Oryzias latipes: one gene and its partner. The protein of the gene in region 1 interacts with the protein of each later gene in a biochemical or structural test. Links are inferred from orthologs where the notes say so. Each region holds a gene or a part of one and is shown in the gene's direction. Other genes may lie near its edges. The genes, in order: phb2 and map1lc3a.

The links.
Region 2: the proteins of phb2 (region 1) and map1lc3a form a complex in vitro, tested with the Homo sapiens proteins (2 studies listed by BioGRID). The link is inferred for Oryzias latipes from reciprocal best matches to the Homo sapiens genes PHB2 and MAP1LC3A.

What each region holds. Positions count from the first base shown.
Region 1 is NC_019862.2:5,433,662-5,438,069, forward strand, and holds the start of phb2 (prohibitin-2), read left to right. Parts: upstream 1-1,336; 5' UTR 1,337-1,440; coding exon 1,441-1,461; intron 1,462-2,315; coding exon 2,316-2,445; intron 2,446-3,618; coding exon 3,619-3,703; intron 3,704-4,285; coding exon 4,286-4,365; intron 4,366-4,408.
Region 2 is NC_019863.2:5,857,389-5,861,984, forward strand, and holds the start of map1lc3a (microtubule-associated proteins 1A/1B light chain 3A), read left to right. Parts: upstream 1-1,729; 5' UTR 1,730-1,863; coding exon 1,864-1,903; intron 1,904-4,596. UniProt on the Homo sapiens protein: Ubiquitin-like modifier involved in formation of autophagosomal vacuoles (autophagosomes). While LC3s are involved in elongation of the phagophore membrane, the GABARAP/GATE-16 subfamily is essential for a later stage in autophagosome maturation.

The sequences.
Region 1 (4,408 bases):
TCTGAACATCACAGTTGAAACTGAATAAAACCGACCTGATGTGACAGTTGATGGACTGTGACTGCAGCTCGTTACAGATGCAGGAGCTGAAATGAGTTTCGTCATCATTGACTGTATAACAGAACTGGACTGACCCCCCCCCCCCCCCCCCGTTCCAACTAGGAGGTGCCGGCTGGATCCAAGAACTCAAAGTCTCAAACTTCAATGTCACAATAACCATTCTTGCGCTGTTCCCTTTTTCTTGACATGTTCTTGCTAATCCTAATTTTGTTTTCATATTTTGTCTGTAGTTCATATTATTCCAGTTATAAACTAGCCAATCAGATGCCTCAATGAAAGCAGGTGGCCTTGCGTTGAACATGTCACATTTTTTTTTTTAATTTTCCTGAGCCTGTGCTCAATGAAAGGAGGTGTGTCCTTCGAACATGCTCACTCCTCATTGGAGAGACAGGTTGCCATGAAAATGTTGACTTAGTCGGACTCAGACTTATCACGGTTTACTGAGGACGTCTGGCGATGGCTATTCTGTTGAAAAATGGCGACTAAATTGATTTGCAGATCATTTTCTATGGGTGACATCACGCATGCTTGGTCCAGTTCTCTTGCAGTCAGTGGTCCAAGCTGTCTGTCTCTCATAGTGAAACAGCCGCACAGACAAACAAAAACTTGCAGGTTTCGAAGTGATTTAGAAATGTGAAGTCTGTATAGAATGGAAGTTCATAACAGATTTTTTGGAACTGAACCCAAGACTTCACTCCGACCATCTTTTGGTCCATTTTCAAAGCGTTCCCATTGGTCTTTGAATTATTATTATGCCATTTATCCAAAACAAAAAACCTGTTTCATTTTTTAGGACATAGTTTCTGCAGAGCGCCAGGAGTTCATTAGAAATTCACCTCTGATATGTGGGCAGCACAGTTGGTGCAGAGTAAGTCTGCCCACACTTCCCAACATCCCTCTGTTTACACTCTCTCCCACTAGCTAACAGTCTCCCAATGACCCCAACCTTCTTTATACGAGGATGGTTCTCTGAATGCATCAGAATGAACCAGAGCAGAGAGCTTGTGGCTTGCCTTAGGAACACGAACATCACACAAGCTTTTTCAAACAGCATTTTTCCGTCTGCTCCTGATTCACAAAGATTTAATTAGAAATACTCAGAAATGCAATTATTAGCTTACATTTCTTTATATCCTGAGAAAAACGCAACAAAAACACGTCAAAAACATAAAAAAAACCCCACAATTTTCATTGGAGTTGGTCTTCAGAAGAAAACACAGTTGGACCAGCTGCAGTACCGTTTCTTACTCACAGGAGGCAGCAACACCGGATCCCATATAACTCATTGGGATCCACCTACTTCACTGCAACGTCATGTCCCAGCATGCCTTGCGCTAAACTGCGTGCGCAGCGAGCTGACCTTGGGTACCGTTGAACAACATGTCGAGCAGGGAGCCGAACGTAAGTGTTCTGGACCGTAAAAGAAAGAAGGTTCCGGTCAGATAGCGCTGTGTATCCGCTTAGGTCAAAGCAACTGACAGGGTAGTTGCTAACTGCGCAAGAACCTCGCGCCGGTGTTTTGCAGCCCACGTGACTACTTTACCTTTGCGGAGGCACGGGTTATGGTAATGTGTGCCGTTCATGTAAAGAAGTGTAGTTTAGTCTAGTTGGAATCTACAGTCTTAGTTCAGACTGATAGTTTATTTAGCTGTAGTCAAATGTATAAGTTGCAGTTCCGTCAGTGAGTTCGGGAAGCGCGTTCTACGGTTCTGACCCATCTTCTCACGAGGGAGAGATGGGAGCTGCAGTCAGTCAGGCAGGCACAGCTCACTACAGCTCCTGCTCTCCATTGTTAGTCCGGAAGGCATCTTACTGTGACCCGGCTAGGGATTAGAACCCGCAACCTCCTAGCTAGTACAGAGTGGTCACTCATCCACTGTAGTTCACAGAGCTGGTTAGTTTGGATTGGTTAAGGAATTTGTAGTTTTTGTCCCAATTTTATTCAGATGAGTTTAGTTATGACAGGTTTAGCTCAAACTGGTTAAGGTTAGTCTGGTTTCTTCCAGACAGGTTAGTTTACATAGACTGGTTTAGTTCAGACTAGTTTATTTTACACTGGTATACTTTAAAATAAACCTATTTAGTTTAGAATAAACCAGACTTGACCCTAAAGCAGTTCATATGGCCTTTTTTATAGTTTGACCAATCCGTGGTTTGCATTAGACTGGTTTTGTTACTAGTTTAGACTAGTTGAGTTCATTCTAATCATGTCTTTTTTCCCATCCATCCCTGCTGTTCTTTGGATCCGACCACAGCGCTTCTTCCAGCACCTGAGAGATCTGTCAGGCCGGATGTCGTCTGGCGGTCGGGGGGCGGGGCTTGGACTTAAGCTGCTGCTGGGAGCCGGCGCTTTGGCGTATGGCGTCTATGAAGCTACATACACAGGTGAGGCCAGGAATCTGGTTTCTGCTGTAGCAACTGTGATCATGTGTATCAGGGGGTAAAGTGTAAGAGGATAAACAAAAACAATTAAAAGTGGACAAAGCAGGACCAGATCAGGAAGATCTACAAATAAAGGTAGTTTGTGAATTTGTGCATCTGCAAGATTTAACGCTGTGATGACCTTAGACAAGGAGGAACTTATTCAAAAGTGTCTTTGGGTAAACACCTGTTTGGACTACTGAAGGTCTTAGAATGAGCAGCGTCTCACCTTTTTGTCCATGTCCTTCACAAACAACCAGTGCAAGCAATTTCAAGCTGTGCAACATCCATATCACAAAGGTCTGCGAAAATCGCAATAAATTGTAAGCCTTAAATGTGCTACAACAATCTTATGGCAGCTTGAAGTATTTTACAAATTGAAAAAATCCCTTTATTCATTTGACCAATCAGATACAACCCTTCACGTTGTTGACAATCGGATGGTGCTTTTATGTTAGATGTTTGCCTCCTTTTTAGACGAGGGTCATTTGAAATATAATTTAAATCTTTCCCGCTATTACTTTTTTTCCTTTCCGACCGTGGTCAGAAGCGCGGGGGACTGAAGGCGGATCCTCCTTCGGGGTTCACTACCCCGTTCAGACCCTCAGATTCTCCAGAGTCACAGAAATTCACATTTAATTGGAAATGTGAACGGCCTTGCAAAAAAATCAAACTTTTTCAAAAAATCGTAATTGAGCATTAAGCCTTGCAGTGTAAACGTAGCCTTAGTAAAGGTGATGTAAAGCAGCTGCTGTTCATCCAGAACGCTGCTGCTCAAGTCCTGACCAAAACCAGGAAGGACGACCACTTCACTTGGTCTTAGGCATCTACTTCCTGTTGCTCAGAGAACAAACATTAGAACAGATCTGATTGTGTTAAATTCTCTCCATGGCTGAGCACCAAAGTACATCTCTGACCTGTTCAAGTTTAGATAAAAAGAAACTTGTTTTTAGATCAGTGTATGACTACTGAATGTCTTTGATCAGCCTTCGTCTTTTTATCTGGTTTTCAAGTGATAAATTGTAATTCATCATTTTGCTGTTTAAGTTTACTGTTGTTGTTTTGTATTATATGCTTCGAATTTGCCCATTTTTTTGTTCCAGTCACATTGAATAACCTTGTTTTGTGTGTGTGCAGTTGAAGGCGGTCACAGAGCCATCGTTTTCAACAGGATTGGAGGGATGCAGATGGACACAATCCTGTCAGAGGGGCTTCATTTCAGGTAAGTTTCACTGAGTCGGTTGTGACAGAAAGGGGTGTGGTCTGTGGTCTCTAGTTCACTGTGGGGACTTTAAGAAGTAAATTATAGCATGTAATCATGCCCAGCTATTCCCTCGGGTCTGACTGGCAGGCAGACTTGCTTCCATGTGGACTGACTTCTGTTTTAAATCGGTTCTCTGAAGTTGGTTGACTTCTTCTGCGTTTGTGTCAGTATGTCAGAAAGCACCAGTTCATAACTTGGAATGTCTCAAAACACTGCTCAAAAACATCAGACAGAGCTTTATAAATTATAATTGTTTAATCTAATTTAGTCCAGATTATTTTACCTGTATTTCAATGAAAGCTGCTGAAATGACCAACAGATTGCATTGAGTTTTGGTGCCTGAACCGAGCGAGCAAACGGTAACAGTGGAAAGGAACATTTTCTAAATAGAAAATTAGGAAAGAAAAAAAGCAGAAACAGACTGTGTAAGGATGACCGTGTGCCTCGGGCAGATGTAGTTTGAGAGGACAGGAAAGAGACGGACACAGACGAACTGGAACATCTGCTACAAGGCAACGTCTGGTTTGTGTGTCTGTGCAGGATTCCATGGATCCAGTACCCCATCATCTATGACATCAGAGCCAAACCCAGAAAGATCTCCTCTTTGACAGGCAGCAAAGGTAAAACTCTCACTGTCTTTGCTTGGGGGTTGGATGTAGAGCT
Region 2 (4,596 bases), on another chromosome or scaffold:
CACATGCACACACACATTCACACCTATGGACAATTTAGAGTTCCCAATGAACCTATGAAGCATGTTTTTTCTGTAGCAAGATTAAAAAAAAATTCAAAACCAGAAATGCTTTTTCATTTTAAAAATGAAGCTGTATTTGTTGACTCAAATTAAAATGAAAACACAATCTGCCAAACCGCTTTTTCTTTTTCAACACAACTCATTCTGTCACTTAATTAAAATGATAATGAAACGGTTTTTGACATTTCCTTTACAAAATGTTCTCTGGTAAATGTGATGCAAAATTCATTTAGAAATGTCTAATTTGACAATTAAAATGGACTAACAGAAATGCTTTTTCATTTTCACAATGTAACTGCATCAAATAACTCAAAATTAAAATGAAACATCAATCTTTCAAAATGCTTTTTCATTTCTACTTTAACATCTGTGACATAATTAAAGCAAAAATGCAAGGAGAGGATTGCATTTTCGTTTTCACATCCACCGTGCGAAAAGTGTCGCAATATTAAATTGAATCCGTTAGTTCAAAAGGGGCCCAAGTCCAAGAGGTTTGTTTTTCCAGGAAATGATTTTAATTGCATAGCTTATAGGGAGGCTACACCAAATGATGAATACTTTACCCAGATTTAGCACAAGTTCATAGCTTACAAATGCTATAATATGAAGCACCTCACTTTTATCATTTTAGAGGACTAGCAAACTAAAGTCTCTGGACTTGGACCCTTCTTGAATTAAACAGGGGTGCTGCCATATTGGATAACTAGTGCTGCCATCTATGGGATAAAGCTAAACCCATCCAAGAGAGGCCCAAGTCCAGGAAAATGCACTTAATGCATTTTAAATGTCAAGCATAGTCAATACATAACAACGGACTTGGGACTTTTTTTTGCACATAATCAGATAGCTTTTCCCTTGAAGACCATAGAAAAAATAAAATCTCTATTTTGAAAAATTGTGGACTTGGGCCCCTCTTGAACTGACCAATTCAATTCTAGTTAGCATTTGCAGGAGGGAGGCGGGGCAAAAAAGAAAAGAAAGAACATTTTGGAGGATTGCTTATTTTAATTTTGAGTCAACAAATGCAGCTGCATTTTCAAAATGAAAAAGCTTTTCTGGTATTGACTTTTATTTTTAATTATGCTACAGAAACACTTCCATAGTGGTACACATGCAAACTCCACGCAGAGACGTCCCCATTGATGTTCTGTTTCAGGACTTGAACCAGGGGCCTTCTTGCTGTCAGGCAAGAGTGCTGACCACTGTGCCACCATGTGCAGTGGATAGTGCTATAAACATTTAAAAGAAATGCATCTTATCTAAGTAGTTTAAAAATATTTATAATGTAATATCCACATTTTTTCCAGGGTGAGCTAGAGATTCTACTGTTCCAAAACAGAAATGATCTGTGGAGAAGAGACAGCAATCCAGCATTTGATGTCTGAGCCTGGAATCTTCATTTGGAGTCTTGTGATGGTCAGAGGGCCCCAGAGGGGCCCCAGAGGGCCCCCAGAGGGACCGCAGAGGGACCGCAGAGGGACCTGCCCCTATAGCGTTTTTGCTCCATGCAGATCGGGTTTTCTGTTTGGTTCGGGTGAGAACGGCAGCTTCTCAGTCCAGTTAGGAAGCCCAAAGTCTGGCTGATGGAATGAAGGAGTGAAGTGGTTCCAACACCTGGACCAGTTTGGTTCCGAGCAAATGGGGGACGTCCCCTTTAAACGTAGCTGCTGACGTCACCGTCTGTGTTCAGAGGCTTTGTTTGCCCGGACGGAGCCGCCGCTGAGAAGACCTGTAGAGAAGAGCGCCGAACCGATTTGCAGCGTCTGACTTAACCGGGCTGGACCTGACACCACGGCGACAAAGATGCCGTCCGACAGGCCTTTCAAGCAGCGGAGGACTTTCGGTAAGAAGAACCGGCCGCTGTGGGCCCCGCCAGCCCGTCCGCCACCGGACTTTCTCAGGGCAGGCCAGGGCCGCCGTGTCCGCGGATGGCCGGCCCGGTTCCGTCGCTGTCGGCAGGACCGGCGCGAGACCTCTGCAGGTTTTCGTGGGTCAGCTGGGTTCTTGTCACTCTGGGCCTGTTCCCGTTCTGCCAGACCTCCGATAGCAGATTAAAAACTGCGAGCCGGACCTCGGTTCCGTCAGTGCTTGACCCGTTTACCGTGGATGCTGCCATGTGACACCGGAAGCTCCTTCTGTTCTTCCAGAGGTCTCGCAGGTCGTGGAGGTTCAGGCGGTGCTTCTCTGTTGGGGGTCAGGGGAACGGTACTGTGGTGGGGGGGCAGCAGAAGGTCACTGACCACCTCAGGACTACTGTACTCTAACAAGGAAACGATCTAAAAGTAATAGATTACTTTAGCTGAGGCCCAACGGGGGCAGCCATTTCAACCAAGAAGCTGCTTATCACGTGTTCCTGCTGTAGAGGATTATTAAAAGATCAATTCTCAAGATGTTTAAATAGAAAACATTCAAAATGAGATAAATTGATATCGTTACCATTTGGATTGAAGTACAGTAGATTTATTTGACTATAAGGTTTAAAGTGACCAAGTGCATCACAGCAGACAACACAACATACATGTGATGTCATCAGCAAAAACTGATGAGTCCATCATTACAGTCCTATGTGTAGAAAATACTTTGAATATAAACATATATAGACAAAGTCATGTCACCATACAGTGTGGTAGAATGTTTTTAAAATGTTCCCTTTGGATCATTTTGATGTGGAAAAACAACAGTGGACTGAACTTTAGGAAACTAAAATGTGAATAGATTGGACATCCATTCTTGTTTACTTGTTTGTTTGTACACATATTTAATTTACACTTGATTATCTTGAAGAAACACAAGGAATCTGGAAAACTTCCCCTACACTGTTCAGAACCTGCAGGTATTTCTCTCTGAGTCACACTGGTGGACGTTTTGGCTAAAGGTGTCCTGGATCCACTTTAAGTCAGTGGATCAGATCCAATTGGATCGCCTAACATGAACCAAAATCCAAATTTAGTCAAATTGGCAACCACAGTCAGCTGTAGCTACTGAGCAATAACAACATTAGAGGACACCTCCATCTCAATGAAAGAGCAGAACCCCCTGCAGAACCAGATCCATGTTACTTGTTAAGGTTGAAACATTTGTTTTCTAGGAATCATTTTTGTGCTCGTGTCATTGTAATGGAAGAAGCTGCTCTCATCATTCCAGCACTCTGTCGTTCTTTAACAACACACACAGACAGCACTCAGCCTCTGGCCTCCATCTTTAATGTGAACAAGTGAAACTGCAGCAGCAGGAAAGGAACCCTTAAGTGAGGTTTGATTTCTGCCGGGGTTCAAAAACAAGAAATGCAGCATTCTAAATGACACCAGGAAACACTAGCTAATTAATCCACATGTACTCAATGTCTATGATAAATGAAAAACTCCAGGAATACAAAAGACAAGGACAGAGGGAACAAGGTGTCAAATTCATTTTGGTTTGGGGGCCGTCTGATCTCATGTGGGCCAGACCAGTAACATAAAGGCAAAATAACAGCTTTGTGGTTTTTTTTCTTAGTTGGAAAAAATGCCTTAACCATAGGAGGCAAATCCCTTATTATTACAGATTCATTGACAGAGGCCAAGGGATCTAAAACAAAATGCATTTCACTTAAAAAAAACATGGTCGATTCAATTTTATACAGACTGAAGCAATCCTGATAATAAACTCAAGAGGGGCTACGGAAAAAAAAGAAACACCTTGCCTAAGATTTAAATGTGTAAATAAAGGAAAAATTAGACTAAATCATACTTGCAAACATATGTGAGCAATTTGGAGTTAACCTCCCTTTCTCTCCTGAAACCATCCATCAATATCAGGATTTAAATCCTGTGCAGCAACACATTTACTGTCATTCAAGTGTGCAAAACACAATGAAATTTCCAAGAGTCTTTTCCTGGTTTGCTGCCAGAATTTTGTGGCAACACCTGCCTTCTTCCTGAGCTTTGATGGGGCGCCATCAGTGACCAGACTGACATCATGTGACCAGTTCACTCCAACATTGTCCAGCACAGTAACTAGAGAGCTGACTATGTCATCAGCTGTTGTTTTGTCCATCAACTCAAGAAACTCTGCTGTGATGGTCTGCTCAACACCTCTAATAAATATGCACAACTTTATTCATCTGTGATGTCGGTGCTTTCATCAACAGTGACTGAAAATACAATAAATGACTAGATTCCTTCATTTGGCCGTCCAAGTCTCCTCGGAGATGTTGTGTAATCGTAATCCTTGACAGACTCATGTTGGCAAAGGTAGACTGCTTTTTGGGGTACAACACTTCTGCATCCTTCATATTTTCCATAAGTTCACAATCCAAAAATGGATTGGATGTTTGCTCCAACTTGTCTGCAATAAGGTGTCTATCACTGCTCTATCACTGACGTCACGGCTGCAGTTAATGCAGACGGTTGTTTTTTCAGTCTAGCTAATAGTTGGTAAATCTTCTCTTTTCTTAACTGCAAATAGTGAAACTTTTTTTATGTTGAGTCTCATAATGGTGCTGAATGTTATATTCGTTGAGCACTGCAACCTTTTGATGGCATACCAAGCATGCAG